Cricetulus griseus: one gene and its partner. The protein of the gene in region 2 binds, or shares a complex with, the protein of the main gene of each other region. Links are inferred from orthologs where the notes say so. Each region holds a gene or a part of one and is shown on either strand. Other genes may lie near its edges.

The links. The genes of interacting proteins can lie anywhere in the genome.
Region 1: the proteins of Ywhah (region 2) and Numb are in contact, whole or in part, in a crystal structure (PDB 5YQG), measured with the Mus musculus proteins. The link is inferred for Cricetulus griseus from reciprocal best matches to the Homo sapiens genes YWHAH and NUMB. Residues at the interface, in NP_035868.1 of Mus musculus: Arg57, Arg132, Tyr133, Leu177, Asn178, Val181, Glu185, Ile222, Leu225, Asn229; in NP_001129547.1 of Mus musculus: Gln274, Gly275, Ser276, Phe277.

The regions. Positions count from the first base shown.
Region 1 is NC_048598.1:119,945,093-119,952,611, forward strand, and holds part of Numb (protein numb homolog), read left to right. Parts: intron 1-2,372; coding exon 2,373-2,577; intron 2,578-4,158; coding exon 4,159-4,449; intron 4,450-6,171; coding exon 6,172-6,321; intron 6,322-7,519. UniProt on the Homo sapiens protein: Regulates clathrin-mediated receptor endocytosis. Plays a role in the process of neurogenesis.
Region 2 is NW_023276807.1:102,058,726-102,066,940, reverse strand, and holds the start of Ywhah (14-3-3 protein eta), read right to left. Parts: upstream 4,112-8,215; 5' UTR 3,909-4,111; coding exon 3,822-3,908; intron 1-3,821. UniProt on the Homo sapiens protein: Adapter protein implicated in the regulation of a large spectrum of both general and specialized signaling pathways. Binds to a large number of partners, usually by recognition of a phosphoserine or phosphothreonine motif.

The sequences.
Region 1 (7,519 bases), on a different chromosome or scaffold from region 2:
ACTGTTTGTTATACTGGCTGGTGCAATGGTGTTTATATCTTTATGCAGATGGGATAATGGATACAGTACAGTTTGCATATGTCTATCTGAAGAATCCTCCTCAAGATTTTCTACCTAAGGCCGGGCGGTGGTGGCGCACGCCTTTAATCCCAGCACTCGGGAGGCAGAGGCAGGCGGATCTCTGTGAGTTCGAGGCCAGCCTGGTCTCCAGAGTGAGTGCCAGGATAGGCTCCAAAGCCACAGAGAAACCCTGTCTTAAGATTTTCTACCTAAAATGGGAGTGATTACAGCTTCAGGACTGGTGGGTTTGCTTTCAGCAAGAAAAGGTACTAGGTTTAAGAAGATTGCTTATCCACTAGGATTGGCTTCATTAGGAGCAACTATTTGTTACCTCCCTCAGTCGGTAATAATTGCAAAGATAACTGGGAAAAAGGCATATACTACAAGCCAGCAAATTTATCAAGCCATTAAGTCATTGTGGACAAAAAGCAGTGAAAAAGAATCACTCCCTGGCCGGGCATTGGTGGCACACACCTTTAATCCCAGCACTCGGGAGGCAGAGGCAGGCAGATCTCTGTGAGTTCGAGGCCAGTCTGGTCTACAGGAGCTAGTTCCAGGACAGCCTCCAAAGCCACAGAGAAGCCCTGTCTCGAAAAACCCAAAAAAAAAAAAAATAAAAAATAAAAAAAATCACTCCCGGAACCAAAGGAAGAGCCTAAGGTAGGAAGGTCTGATGAAATATATGCCAAAACGCCTGACTTGAAACATTCAGTACCTTTTCCAGAAGCACTTGCCTCTGCAACAAAGATGAAATCGAAATCCACTGCAGGCCCTACACAGTTTATACCTGACCCCAAGCTCATGGGATCCCGGGCAGTCTCATCCAGAAGATAAAGATATGTACAGCACTAGAAGCTGAAGTAGATGGCAGTGGGAGCCTGCATAGAGAATCGTAAGATGTCCCAAGTGACAAAGAATGGTGACAAATCATGTAACGGATGGGTAACTGACAGAGCATGGCTAGAAATTTTTCCATGATGTTTTCAAATAAACAGTTTGACCAGTGATACAAGTGATTTAAACACAAATTAATGACAACACAAGTAATGTTAAGAGATTGATGAAGGGGCTGGAGACATGGCTCAGGGGTTAAGAGCACTGGCTGCTCTTCCAGAGGTTCTGAGTTCAATTCCCAGCAACCACATGGTGGCTCACAACCATCTGTAATGTGATCTGGTGTCCTCTTCTGGCACGCACTATATACATGATAAATAAATAAATCTTTAAAAAAAGAGAGAGAGAGAGATTGATGAAGCAACTGAAGTAGAAGTACTAGGAGTGCATTCCATGACTTGTAAGAGAATTTATTAGAGAGCAAATAGAATGGAGATATAAATGTCTCTGAGACTAAAATCTAACCATATGCATATGTAAACATACATATACATATTTAAACATATGAATCTGCTTCCGTTTTCCCAGTTATTGCCAGTTAACTTAGAATGCTGGATAGAAGGATGTGTTTCCCAGAGTTGGAATGAAATATCCATATTTTATGGCACATAAAAAATAATAATAAACTTGACTCTGGGTAATTAAATGTATCTATAAAATAATGATTGGTTTACCTAACTCCGTTCTCTTGCCACACATAAGCAAATCAGTTCCATTTCTAAGTAAGGCATAGATGCAACTGTGTTTGCACTTTTGCCTTTGTGTGGTTGGGACGTGCAGTTGTGAATGACAGAGCTAAAATATAGGGAAGGCATGAAGGAGACAAAGCAAAGTCTTTACTTGAGTCCCTTTTAATAGGGAGTTGTTTTTAAGTTTGTAAATACCCCCCCCCCCCCGGAAATGTTGGCAGTGCAGTCAGGCTCCTGAAATTCTTGCCTCTCCAGTGCTTCTTAGACATGTCTGCCAAATATTCTTGCAATTCCCCTTTTACAAAGCAACTAGTGGGCTGGAGAAATGGTTCAGTAGTGAAAAGCACTACTCTTGCAGAGAGCCCCCAAGTTCTGTCCCCAGCACCACTTTAAGCAGCTCACAACCTTCTCAAACTTCAGCTCCAGGGGGAATCCATCACCTCTGGTCTCTGAGGGTACCTGTATTCTCTCTCTCTCTCTCTCTCTGTATTCTCTCTCTCTCTCTCTCTCTCTCTCTGTATATCTCTCTCTCTCTCTCTCTCTCTCTCTCACACACACACACACACACACACACACACACACTTAAAAATTAAAGGAAAACTGGAAGCTTGAATACAAAGACAGTTCATTTTGCGTGTTAATTTTAAACTGGAATTTACAATAGCTGTATGTGTTTGTAGTTGTTGGTGCTGTGACTTTCATAGAGCTTTCAAAACCTGCTCTCTGCAGGGGGAAAGACTGAGCCATGCTGTGGGCTGTGCTTTTGCAGCCTGTTTAGAGCGGAAACAGAAACGGGAGAAGGAGTGTGGAGTCACTGCTACTTTTGATGCCAGTAGAACCACTTTTACAAGAGAAGGATCATTCCGAGTCACAACTGCCACTGAACAAGCAGAAAGAGAGGAGATCATGAAACAGTTGCAAGATGCCAAGAAAGGTACAGTGTGTTCTTCTGTGGTGTGTTTGTTTAATTTAGATTTTCCAAACAGGTTTGTATTTGAAGCTATCAGAGACAAGTTTCCTACAGACAAAAAGAACTCTTGGGATTTCGGATGTAGCCCATTGATAGAGCATTGCTAATATGGGTTCTATTTTATCACTCCTTATCCCCCATCCACATCATACATTCAAAGAGAGATCTCTCAGCAATGTGTGACGACTTTAAAGACAAAACTGAAAATCTTACAAAAGTTCTTTCTTTAGAGTGGCTTAAAAAACATATTCTTATAGTAAGCTCCTTGGGGGAAGGTGAAAAGCAGTTGAAGAAGCTGCAGAGAACACATTTAATTCTTATGTGTCTGTCTCTATGAGACACAAGTACCATCAAAGACACACCATCTTGGAGGATGAAGCACAAGCCCCAGGATTTAGAGACACAAACACTGGCTATGATACTGGCAGAGAGTAAATGTTGATACTGTGCTGATTAGATATTGGTATAATCCTGAGTGCTTACATGTTGGTGTTTTTACTTTTGTATGGATGCTTGTCTGTGTGAGAGAGTATGCAGAAACCCAGGGCCAACATTGAGTCTTTTTCAGTAGAACAAATAACTTTCTTTTTTTATATTTATTATGTATACAGTGTTCTGCCTGCATGTATGCCTGCAGGCCAGAGAGGGCATCAGATCTCATAGATGGTTGAGCTACCATGTGGTTGCTGGGAATTGAACTCAGGACCTCTGGAAGAGCAGTCAGTGCTCTTAACCTCTGAGCCATCTCTCCAGCCCCTGTTCAGTCTTTTTTTAAAAAATCATTTTTAAGATTTTTTAACTTGTTTTATGTGTGTAGGTATTTTGTTTGCTTATATATCTGCTCACCAGATTGTTGTGGAGCCATCATATAGGTGCTGGGAATTGAACCTGGGCCCTTTGGGAAGAACAACCAATGCTCTTAACCACTGAGCATGTCTCCAGTCCTGTCTGTTCAGTCTTAGTAGAGGATAAGACAAGCAGGTGTTGCTAACTCTTCATGTGTCAGAGTGCAGAGGGCCTGAACCATTTTCTAGCCTGTCTTATGTAAGACATGGGATGTGGGTTCGGTAGAGAACAAGAGGACTGCTCGCACTCTCTCTCTCTCTCTCTCTCTCTCTCTCTCTCTCTCTCTCTCTCTCTCTGCCATTTCTCTGAGGAGGCAGGTCTCTCTCTTTTCTGTTTCTCTCTTCTCTCTACCCTCTCTTCCCTTCCCTTCCCTTCCCTTCCCTTCCCTTCCCTTCCCTTCCCTTCCCTCCCTTCCCTTCCCTTCCCCTTCCCTTCCCTTCCCTTCCCTTCCCCTTCCTCCCTCCCTCCCTTCCCTCCCCTACCCTTCCCTTCCCTTCCCTTCCCTTCCCTACCCTTCCCTTCCCCCAGTGAAACTTCCTTCCCATGTGAACAGAAAAGAACAAGAGGGCTTCTGTGCTCTCAGCTCTGTCAACTCAGGGTATTTGAAGGTCACTGCTGAGGTCTAAGGTCTTTTTCTTTGTTTTTTTTTTTTGTTGTTGTTGTTGGTTTGTTTGTTTTTTGTTTTGTTTTGTTGAGCAGAGCAAGATAAGGCAGTTGTTGGTCCGTCAGTGGCTCCTGGCAACACTGCTCCATCCCCATCCTCCCCCACCTCTCCAACTTCGGATACCACTGCTTCTCTGGAGATGAACAACCCTCATGCCATACCACGCCGGCATGCACCAATTGAACAACTTGCTCGCCAAGGCTCCTTCCGGGGATTTCCTGCTCTTAGCCAGAAGATGTCACCCTTTAAACGCCAACTATCCCTACGCATCAATGAGTTGCCTTCCACTATGCAGAGGAAGACTGATTTCCCAATAAAAAACGCAGGTAATATGCTCTAGCTCTGATGTGCCGTCACCTCTCCTGTCTCTCTGAAGCTGTTAGCTATACTGTGTGTCATTTCAGATGAAAGCAAACTAGGGCCCATAAGTAGTTGACAGAGCCACAGGTCTGTGTTTGTCCTGGTGTAGATGTGTTCTCTCAGCCTGCCTGTTTCCAAACATCAAGGGTTCCAAATTCCCATTCTTCATGTGCTGCATAGGACCGGGGAGAATTAAAGAGGCTTTAGAAGCATTTACAGGTTAATAGTAAGTACCACTGTCAAACGAACAGAAGAAATGGATAAGTGTTCCTTATGTTTGGCTTCATAGAGAACACATTCTAAATGGCTCTTTTATACAAATCTAAGGTCTGTTGTTGAGCAGAAGCATGAGATTGCTCACATTGATTCCTCACCTGTGTGTCCTCTGTTCAGCTAGAGCCAGCCTGTGAGCTCTATCCTTATCATGTGATCTGGAACTAAAGTGTTAGATGTGGCTGGTGCTTTTATGGACCCTATAGTGCTTCCCTCTGAGACACACTGTCTCTATAACTGAACATGAGAAAGCTCTGGCTCAGTAGGCACTTCTACAGACAACATATAAAGTACAGGGAGGTAAGAACTGTGGACAAATAAAACTAGGCTTAAAGAACAGTTGGAGGTAGGTGATCACAGGAAGTCTTTTCGGCAACCCCCAAACTGCAGATGCTTGAGGTACCTCTGTGCAGTGTCCCTCTGGGGCAGATGATCATAGATAGAAGTCTCTTTTTCACAGAGAGCAAAGGTTCAGTACACATCATTTATTTGCTCAGTAATAAGGAAGTGTTTTCAGTGTCTTTTTTTTCCCACACAGGATCTCAAACTTGCTTGGACCCAAACTCTGGATGAAAGCAATCTTCCTGCTTGGCTTTCCAGAGTTAGTATTAAGGAGTCTTTAGCGTCCTACATTTCAGTTCACTTTTCTTGGATACCACAGTTCATGTACTAGAAGTTTTAAAGAAAATGAAAGTGTTGACATGTCATATTTGGATTCAGGAGAAAGCTTTTGTATCTAGCCTTAAACACACACACACCCCTATTTTTTTTTTTTTTTTTTTTTTTGATAAAATTGCTTGATGGCTCTAGAACCTGATTAGGTCATAAGTTCTAGGACCCAGTCAACTTTTTTTTTCAAAGATTTATTTATTTATTATGTATAGTATACAGTGTTATGGCATGTATGCCTGCATGCCAGAAGAGAGCACCAAACCTCATTATAGATGGTTGTAAGCCACCATGTGGTTGCTGGGAATTGAACTCAGGACCTCTGGAAGAGTAGCCAGTGCTCTTAACCTCTGAGCCATGTCTCCAGCGCCCCAGTCAACTCTTACAGATTGCAGAGATCTTCCCAAAAGATCCAGCTATTATAAACAACCTCACATTAAAAAAAAAAATAACAACAACAATAAACAAGTACCAAATTCCCAACAATGTCATAAAAAGAACTAAAGACATTTAGGGATTTGCAGAGAAAGATGCTCTATCTTAGTGCATAGTTTACTGATGTTTTCTGCTTTCCTGTCTGAAAATTGAAGTGTTCATCAATTAATTTACTGAAGCTGATTGTGTATCCTGACAGTTAAAACTTGTCCTTCTGCAAGGGAGAGAGTGAAAAATGGCTGTTTACACCATGCTGTCATATTTCAGGTTTTTTCTATTTCCTGTCTAGAACCATTGTGTTTGTCTTGCAGTGCCAGAGGTAGAAGGAGAGGCAGAGAGCATCAGCTCCCTGTGTTCACAGATCACCAGTGCCTTTAGCACACCCTCCGAGGACCCCTTTTCCTCTGCCCCAATGACCAAACCAGTTACATTGGTGGCACCACAGTCTCCTGTATTACAAGGTTGGTGACCTCTGACCTCAGTTGTTCTCTTTGAAACTAACCCTGTTGGCATGCTGCTTGTGAACTAGAAGTTGGCATCTGAGCTTGCCATTATCCTCATCTCCCTGCCCAGCCACCTCTTCGGGCTTTGTTCCTCTCCTAAGTTGCCCGCTTTCATCATTTGGCACATGTACGTCTGTCTTTCATCTTCTAGTAAGAGTTTCAGTAACCCCAGTCCACCACTTTGTTTGCCTTTTGACTTCAACGGTCAGAGCAGCCAGCCAGCTTTACAAAATCTGTTATCAGGATTGGTTCAGGCTCTGTGCCTTCTAGCATAGTGATTCCCCACCAGGGATAATTTTGCCTCCTCAGGGAAAATTTGACATTCATTGTATGGAGACATTTTGGGATTACAGCATCAGAATTACAGCATCAGAAATGCTGGCAAACACCCTTCAATGTACAGGGCAGCTCCTACAGCAAAGAATTACCCATTCCAAAATGTGAGTGGTGTTAAAGTTAAGGACACCTGGACTTCCTCCTGTCTGAGAGACTCAAAGTAGAAGCCTTTTTCTGCCTCACTGGTTCATTTTATGGTCTATAACAAATACTGTAAAATTGGCCTTTGTGACAATAGTTACTTCAGTGTTAGAGGGCCCCACCCCCTGCTAAATTAAGTCCTCACTCATAGATCAACAAATAATTTATGTAATTTAAATCAGTGACTTCTAAAGTAAAGCTCCAATGACCTGCCCATTGCCATTTCCTTTGAGATTGCAGAGATAGGACTGCCCTGCGGTCAGTGCCATTACCTCTGGAAGATGCTTCCAGACACCTTTGTTTTGGGCCTAGGTTTTCATCTCTGCTTCTTTTGAAGCAAATGCCTATAATCATATGTGATTTATATCATAGCTTTTCTTTCTATCTGACAGACATTTGTAGTATTAGAAAAAATAAGCTTGATCTATTGAGCACTTAACAGTGCCTGCCACCATGAAAATCCTCACACATTATCTTAAAGTCTCAAATAGCTCCTTGAGGTTGGCATTACATATAAGAAAAATGGCTGGGTGCCAATAGCACACTCCTTTAATGCCAGCACTCAGGAGGCAGACGCAGGTGGATCTCTCTGAGTTCCAGGCGAAGCTGGTCTACAAAGCGAGTTCCAGGACATCCACGCTACATAAAGAAACCCTTTCTCATAAAGGAAGGAAGGAAG
Region 2 (8,215 bases):
TCTTTCCCGTACAAGGGACAAAGCCAAAGCCCTAAGTATGCTAAGTGCTCTCCCACCCAACCCCAACCCTAGAGCAGTAGCCTCCAACTGAATCTATTACATAAATATTAAATGTCTTCTTCCTTCCTCAGTTTGGATATTGGTAAAGAGAGAATCACATTTCAATGCCCAGCCAGTGGAAAATGGGACTCTCCTAGTTTTCATTTATTCCAAACAGCACTAAAGTGGCTTTCACATTCGTGGTGGATCAATCCCAGCACTCAGGGGGCAGAGGCCAACCTGGTCCATGTAGGGAGTTCCAAGCCAGATTCACGTATGTGTGTTGGTGATGACACACACAATGAGAACCTATCTCAAAAAAATTTCCATATTGACACAATTTTTGATGGATCTTAAAAGTCCAATGTCTCCTCCAGTCATTCAGTGGGATTCTCCTTTTACACACCACCTGCTGCTTCTCCCATTTCTCACACTCTCATAGCCAGCAAGTGTAAGGGCCTTTTGCCTCTTCCTGCCCAACTCATGTTGCTTTGAATGCAGTTTTGTTTCTTGCACTTAGATATTCATCAAATCCAACATTTTGCTCTATATTCTACCAACACTGTAAGACTGTAGCAGCTGGGTGTGGTGGCACATGCCTGTAATCCAAGCACTCACGAGGCGTAGGGTTTGAAGTCAGTAAGACCCTAATAACTTTGTACAGCACTGTATATTTGCATTTTGTAATTTCAGTTACCACCTCTAAATGACTCAGGGGAAGAAGAAGATATGACTGAATTATCTACCCATCAATACAGAAGCCTATAGTTCCCTTATCTCCTGACAACTCAGTCCTTCTACAGGAGCATTTTATTCTCATTTAATAAACTTACTTCATACTCCATGGAAGTGACTAGGCAACATCAGGAAGGGCTTGAAGAGTTATTTAATTAAGCTTCTGTAACATGTGATGACTCTTCATGAGTAGGGGGAGAAGTTATGGTCTTCAACCGATTTGAAGCAATACCACTATTCCTAATGGGGTGGGGGGTGGGCTGAGGAATCAAAACAGGGACCCTCAAAATGCTAGGCAATGGCTGTACCACCCAAGCTCCACCTTCAGTCATTCTTAAAGTTTACCACTACTGTCCTCCAGGTGACGCTGCTAGATTAAGAAACATCATTATGCCGGGCGGTGGTGGCGCATGCCTTTAATCCCAGCACTCGGGAGGCAGAGGCAGGCGGATCTCTGTGAGTTCGAGACCAGCCTGGTCTACAAGAGCTAGTTCCAGGACAGCCTCCAAAGCCACAGAGAAACCCTGTCTCGAAAAACCAAAAAAAAAAAAAAAGAAACATCATTATAGGCACTATGACTAAACCACTTAAATTAATAAAAACCATCTTGAAGATTAAAGAAAAAAACTGACTTGTTACTAATACCAATATTCCTAATTTTTTTTCAATTTTCCTAATTTTATACTTCAGAGATCCTGCAGCCAGGAGATGTAAGTTTCAAGGTCAGAGTAGTGACACCCTACTCCCCCATTCTGTCAAGCCTGTTCCACTCTCTCTAAACAGTGTACTTACCTGCCTTTAAACTGCCTGAAAAAAAGCCCACATAAACCCAGGGGGAAGCCAGGCAGGACGGTGCACACCAGTGATCCCAGGATTTGATGGGTAAAGGCAAAATCACCTGGAGTTCAAGGCCAGCCTCAGCTATTTAATGTATTTGAGGACAGCCTGGGATACCTGAAAACCTATCTAAAAGAAAAAAAGGAAAAAACCCAATGTGAGTATACTAGAGTTCATTCTTCCCAAAAGCTTTTGAATAGATGGCCTATTAGCATTTATTAAGAATTTCATCTAAAAATTACACCAACAGGCAAAATAAGATTTTTTTCTACACCTACCTAAAAATATATCCCACTAATATAGGTGGCAAACATTAATTCTGGTAGGAAACAACTCCCCTTATTTTTTTAGTAGTTAACTTGAGGGAATGTTTTATCACAAATTTGATGGTGCAAATATTAAATTCTCTGTTCCTGGTGTCTTTTCCAAACCATGAATCATGAATTTCTAACACACTCAAAGGTTCATTAGCTTGTAAAATGTTATCTTAATGCCCCAGGGAACATCTGTGAATAAAATAGGCAACTTCATTTTCAAGCCCATTTAGAGAGACCAGAGGGCCTTTTTTTCCCTGATGAAACTATATTTTGTTCTGGTAACATCTCTCTAGTCTTTCCTAATTTCCCACCTCAGGAAATTGGCAGCTCCACATACATGACAGCCGTTTTTCCTTAGTTTTAATTCATCTTCATATAAGCCCCATCCATCTTTCTCTTCAACATTTTTATCTCCCAAAACTGCAGCCTTCAAGTACCACTCACACCATGAGCACAGGCCTCACTCAGGGTCCAGGGAGAGGCCTCAACTTGCAGAATCCCAGAGCTATTTGGTGACTTGGTGTGTGAACAGTGGTGGCTTTCAAGATGTACATTAGTGATTACAGTCTTGTTTCCAAAAATTTGCAAAACCATATTTTAACTTTGTTTTCTTAAAGGAAGAATTCACAATTTCTTCAAAGTCCAGACCCCAAACCCAGAACATCCCCTGGTATAAATGAAAAGCTTGTATATAATCAGCACAGCATAGCATAATAGTGAAGTCAGTCTCACCAATGAATCAACAAACAGGGTTTCCAGAGACATTTTGCTGAATGTGTAACAGGGCACTAGAGAAGATAGTAACTTGATTATCTGTTCTTACCTGGGAAATCCTAAATGTTCACCTCAATTTTATATCTCATGTAGTATCAAAATAAAGTTTCCAAATTATATTAACAGGAGTCTCTAGGTTTATAATTTTTTATTTAAGAATCATTTCAAAGGCCAGCTATAGGACATATGAGCTACAATCTAGGGCAGTTAATACTTACTCATTTAAGTCAGCTAAAAACTGCCCTAAGGGCTGCTTAAAAGGCAGATTTCTGAGTCTCACTCCCAAAATGCTTGTCTATGGTGGAGTCCAAGGAAATTCTCCCCAAGCTTAGGAGGTTTACACCAAGACACTTAGTAGCCACGGTTGCACCTCTATCACTGTGACCTTGACAAGAAATATTCTTGACAAGAGAAAACCCAGGACCATGTGAAGAGTCGTCTATAGTGGGGTGGTAACCAGAATTCAAACCCTCGAATAGGCAGGTAGGCTCTAATCTACGATACTTGCTAGGGTGTGGCTGGGCATGTCTCCTTTACCGGAAATCAAGTTGCAGAATCCATCTATGAGGGTCTCAGGAATGCAAAGGCACCCAGGTTTGCTTCATTTTCATTTCCTCCGCAGGCAGACACGCTGCACTGAATGTTGGGATATTATGTAGGGACCCACGCCCTCCTCACGCCTATGACTTCTGGAATGAGGTCTTCGCACACAAAGCCAGACCCGAGGTGTGGAAAATGGGAAAGAACCAACTTCAGGCAAGCAAAGCAAACAGGTCGTGGCGGAGAAAACCAGGAGACGGGTCTCCAGTGGCTGAGGATTCTTTATTACAAGTGGGTGAATGGTGGAAGGGAAGCACGTTTCGCCTCAGGTCGGAAGAAGGGTCTAGAAGCAGGAACGCGATTTCCTCGTGTACCCCCTCCCCCACCAGGGCTCCGAGCGAGGCTGCGGCGACCCCTGCCCGCCAACCTCCGAGGGGAGACCCCGCCGCGGCAGGGCCTCAGGAAATGGAGAGCTCGGCGGCCGCCGCGCCCAAAAGGTGGCTGTGCGCTGGGAGGGAGCCGCCGCCCAGGCCCGACCCGCCCCACAGCCCCCGGCCGCCCGGCTCCCGGTGCGCTCACCGCCTTCATGGCGGAGGCCATGTCGTCGTAGCGCTCCGCCTGCTCCGCCAGTCGCGCCCGCTGCAGCAGCTGCTCTCGGTCCCCCATGTCTCTCGCGACTCGGCCTCGCCTCGCGCGCCCGCACCGCCTGCTTGCTCGCTCGCTCGCCCGCCTGCCCGTCCGCTTCCCGGTCTCCGCCGAGGCCGCCGCCGCGCACGCGCACTGGCTCGCCGGCTGGCGGGAGGCTGCAGGCTGCGCCGCGGCTCGCGCCCTCTCGCTGGCTGGCTGCACGCGCAGTGGCGAGGGCCGCGGAGCCGCGGAGAGAGGACAGGGGGGCGCCGCGGGCGGCGGGAGGGAGGACGCGACCACGCCTGCGCACTCGGAGCGGCGAGCCGCGGGAGGGGGAGCGGGGCGGCCCAGCCCTAACGGTCTTTTTTAAGGTGACGTCATCTACTATAAATAGCTGCGGCTAGGCCCAGCGCTGGAGAGCGGCGCAGGCGCCCTAGGAGTGCTGCATTTTACCGCCGCAGTGTTGGAGGGTAGGGAGCGGCCAGGGCGCGGCGATGGTGGCTCCTCAGGCTGGCGTTGTCGCCGCCCAGGCCAGGAAAGCGTCACAAAACCCATGTTAGAGCTCAGGTTTGAGAAGGGCCCTCCCAGCAAATAACCCTGTGTGGAGAAGCCGCCGCCCCCCACCGAGGGACGTCTCTGCTCCCTGAGGCCACACCCAGCGCTTGGGTCAGCTCTGGTGGTGGCTCCTTCCCTTAGGGACAGCTCCTCAGAGACACTGGAACCCACCATACCGCACCCTGAGAAGTGACCTTCGGCCAGCTCTGGCTTTCACAGGGCTGGCAGGTAGCTTGGCAGAGTTTAACGGTCACGACAGGCCTACGAGGAGCTGGCCCACTGCTGGGCCTTAACTGGCACTAACCTATTTCATACAACCGACTCCACGAAAATCACAGCAGGCCCCCATTTTTCAAAGCCCAAGTGCATGCCGCGACCCCGGTTAAAAAAAAGTTGGCGACCAACCTGGTCGACTTACCCTGTCTGTTTCAAAGATTTGAAAGGAAGTTTGGGGTTACAACACAGAGGTACCATGTTTGCCTGGTGTGAGCGAGGGCCTGAGGTGGACCCCTCAGTGGAAGAAGCAGCAAAAATGCAAAGCAAGGGCACACACACTTCCTGTGTGTGGAGTGACCAAAATCTGATTTCAGTATCTTCTTGGACTTCTATGGCAATGGACTGACTGGTCACTAAGCCCCTCCCAGGCCTGCAATTCCATGCTAAGGGATCCTGGGTTGGGCCTTAAGACCAAGCTAGGAAAAAAAAAAAAAATTAAAACAAGCACTCTAGCCAGTCACAGGTGGCTCTCTGAGTTCCAGGACAGCCTGGTCTAGAAAGCAAGTTCCAGGACAGTCAGGGCTACACAGAGAAACCCTGTCTAGAAACAAAGCAAAAAACAAAACATCCCCAGAGAATCACAGGAGAAGGGGCCTTAGGTTGACTGAGAACTGTGCGTATTGAAGGCAAGGGGGCAGAGATGAACCCCAGACATTGCTCTTCAGAGCTATCATTTTCATTTTTAAATATATAGAGAGGACGTTTTAAACTTTTTGTATTTTGAGACAGAGTTTCTCCGTGTAACAGTCCTCGCTATCCTGGAAATTGCTTTGTAGACCAGGCTAGCCTCGAACTCACTGAGATCCAGCTGCCTCTGCCTTCCAAGTGCTGGGACTAAAGGCATGCGCCACCACCGCCAGACTGTTTCTAACTTTTTTAAACATATTTGGGTGGAAGGCAAGTGGGGTGAGGGATGCGTGTGTAGAGGTCAGAGGTGTGTGTGTGTGTGTGTGTGTGCACGCGCTCGCGCGTCCCCTAGAACTGGGGCAGTTGTGAGCTGCCATGTGGGTGCTGGAGATAGAACCCAGGACCTCTGGAAGAACAGCCGGTGCTCTTATACTCTAAGCCATCTCTCTAGCCCCAGATGGCATCTTGCTCATCTTGCTGTTGTCTCTCTCCCCTGTGGGTTCCTGAGAGGAATTCAGGTCATCTGGTTTAACTACAAGTGACTTTACTTACATCTGAACCATCTCACTGGCCACTCATTTTTTGTGTGTTTTTGTTTTATACAGATCTTTCATTTGGCCTGGAACTCACTAACTGGGCTATGCCTGCTGACCTTAAAACCTCAAGAATCCACTAGCCTTCACCTCCTCTGCACTGGGGTTCAAGCATGCTCTACTATGCCTGGCTTCTTATCACTGGGTGATGGGGTCAGGTGATGGGAATCTCACCACTGGGTGATGGGGTCAGCTGATGGGAATCTCACTACTGGGTGATGGGGTCAGGTGATGGGAATCTCACCACTGAGTGATAGTGAAACCTGCTTGAACCCCAGTGCTGGGGAAGTAGAGGCAAATGGATTCCTGGAACTTTGTGGTCAGTCAACATAGTCTAATTGCCTTCTGTGAGGGCAGGTGTAGCACTGCCTTCCTGGGTTGCTTCCTGCTCTCAGAGCATACCGCCCTTAAGCATTTCTGGCATTCTCAGCCTGAAATTGGTTGACAGTGAAAATGAAGCTGAGCTGTGTGTTCTGGATAATTGATTTTGACAGTACTACAGTTTGAACATCGTCTCCTGAAAAAAGCATGCATCCACAGTGCTTCAGAGGAAGAGCCTGATGGGAAGTGCTGAGATCATGGTGGCTCCTCCTCCATAAATGGATTAATACCAGCTAGAAAAGGCCTGGAGAGAACTATCCCAGGTTCAAAACAAACAAAAACCAAAACTGTTCTATCTTCTGCCAAGGAGTATCATATTCTTAGATTTCTGAGGCCCTAAACCTGGGGCAGTGAGGGGGGCAGATTATAATTTTTATTAGTTACCCAGTCTGTGGCTTTCTGCTAGCTATAGCAGACAACAGAAAGGAAATGACATTGGTGACTCCTTGCTTCTCCCTCGAAGAGTTTTGCCTTCTCTATCTGCCTCGCTTCATCTAGACTCTTCATGGCCACCAGAGATGCTTCATAGTCCTCACCTCCCTGGCTCTCTTGGGTGCACTGGGCTCAGTTGCCGCTTGTCCCTCCATGTGGGTTCTCCTCTTGGCTTCTGTGGTCCTACACTCTCTAAGCACCCTTCTGCTGCAGAGTGGGCTCACCCTCTAGCCTTCCCTGAAGTATTGGTGTGCCTCAGGACCACCCCAGCCCCTCTTCTCACTCTGCTTCATCTTTGCCCCATCCATGTTCACTCTTACGGGAAAATGACTCAATAGCATGTTCCCAGCACTGGGTGATGTGCTATATAATGTTTTTGTTTTGTGATAACTCTGAAAGGCATGTACAATTCCAATTTCCATTTTATAGTTGAGGAAACTGGCTCAGAAATGTGTGTGGCCTGAAAGTCACATAGAAGCTAACAGAGCCAATGCTCAGACTCGGTTCCCCCAGATGGAACCACACTGCCCTGTGACCCTCAGGGTCGAACTGTAAGAAGTATACACAAGCCCCCCCAACTGCTCTCTGTAAACTCTTATGAGGGCCTTTTCTCTTTGACCCCTCTTAGACAGATGCCGACTCTTAGGAGACCCTGGAACACATCACCCTATCAATAGGTTGGCTCTGGAACCACTCCAGAGAGATGCCCTGAGTAAGATTGGTGATAAACACATCATGTTGCTAGGGCTCAGAACTGTCCCCAGCACAGGAGCCAAATCTGTGTCTTCCCCTGCTACAAGGTATCACTCTAGAAATAGGGAAGGCTCACCTGACTTCTCAGAATCTGCATGGTACCCTGTGGGGGCCCAACATGATTCTAGACTTGGGTTCAAATCCTGATCTACCGGTTTATCCTCTGAGTTCTCTTGAGCAAGCCACATGGAAAATGGGCCTAATAACCTTTTTGTTTTGTCTTTTTGAGACAGCATTTCACTGGCCATCCTGGAACTTGCTCTGTGGGCCAGGCTGGCCTCAAATTTACAGAGATCCACCTGCCTCTGACTCCAAAGTCTAGGATTAAAGGCATGTGCCTTCTCATTTTTCTTAAACAGGGTCTCACCGTGTAACCCTGGCTATCCTGGAACTTGCTGTGTAAACCAGGCTGGCCTCAAATTCAGGTCCTTAACTTCTGCCTCCTAAGTGCTGGATTTAAAGGTAAGCACCACCACACTCCAGCTTAAAAAAACAAAGCAAAACCAACCAGTCGATGGTGAAGGCCTTTAATCTCAGCACTCATGAGGCAGAGGCAGGGGAATCTCTGTGAGCTTGAGGCCAGCTTGGTCTAACAGTGAGTTCCAGGACAGCCATGGCTACACAGAGAAGCCCTGTCTCTAAAAACAGAATAAAATAAACATAGGGTCTTGATCTATAGGCCAGGCAATTCTCAAACTCATGACAATCATCCTGTCTCAGTCTCCCAAA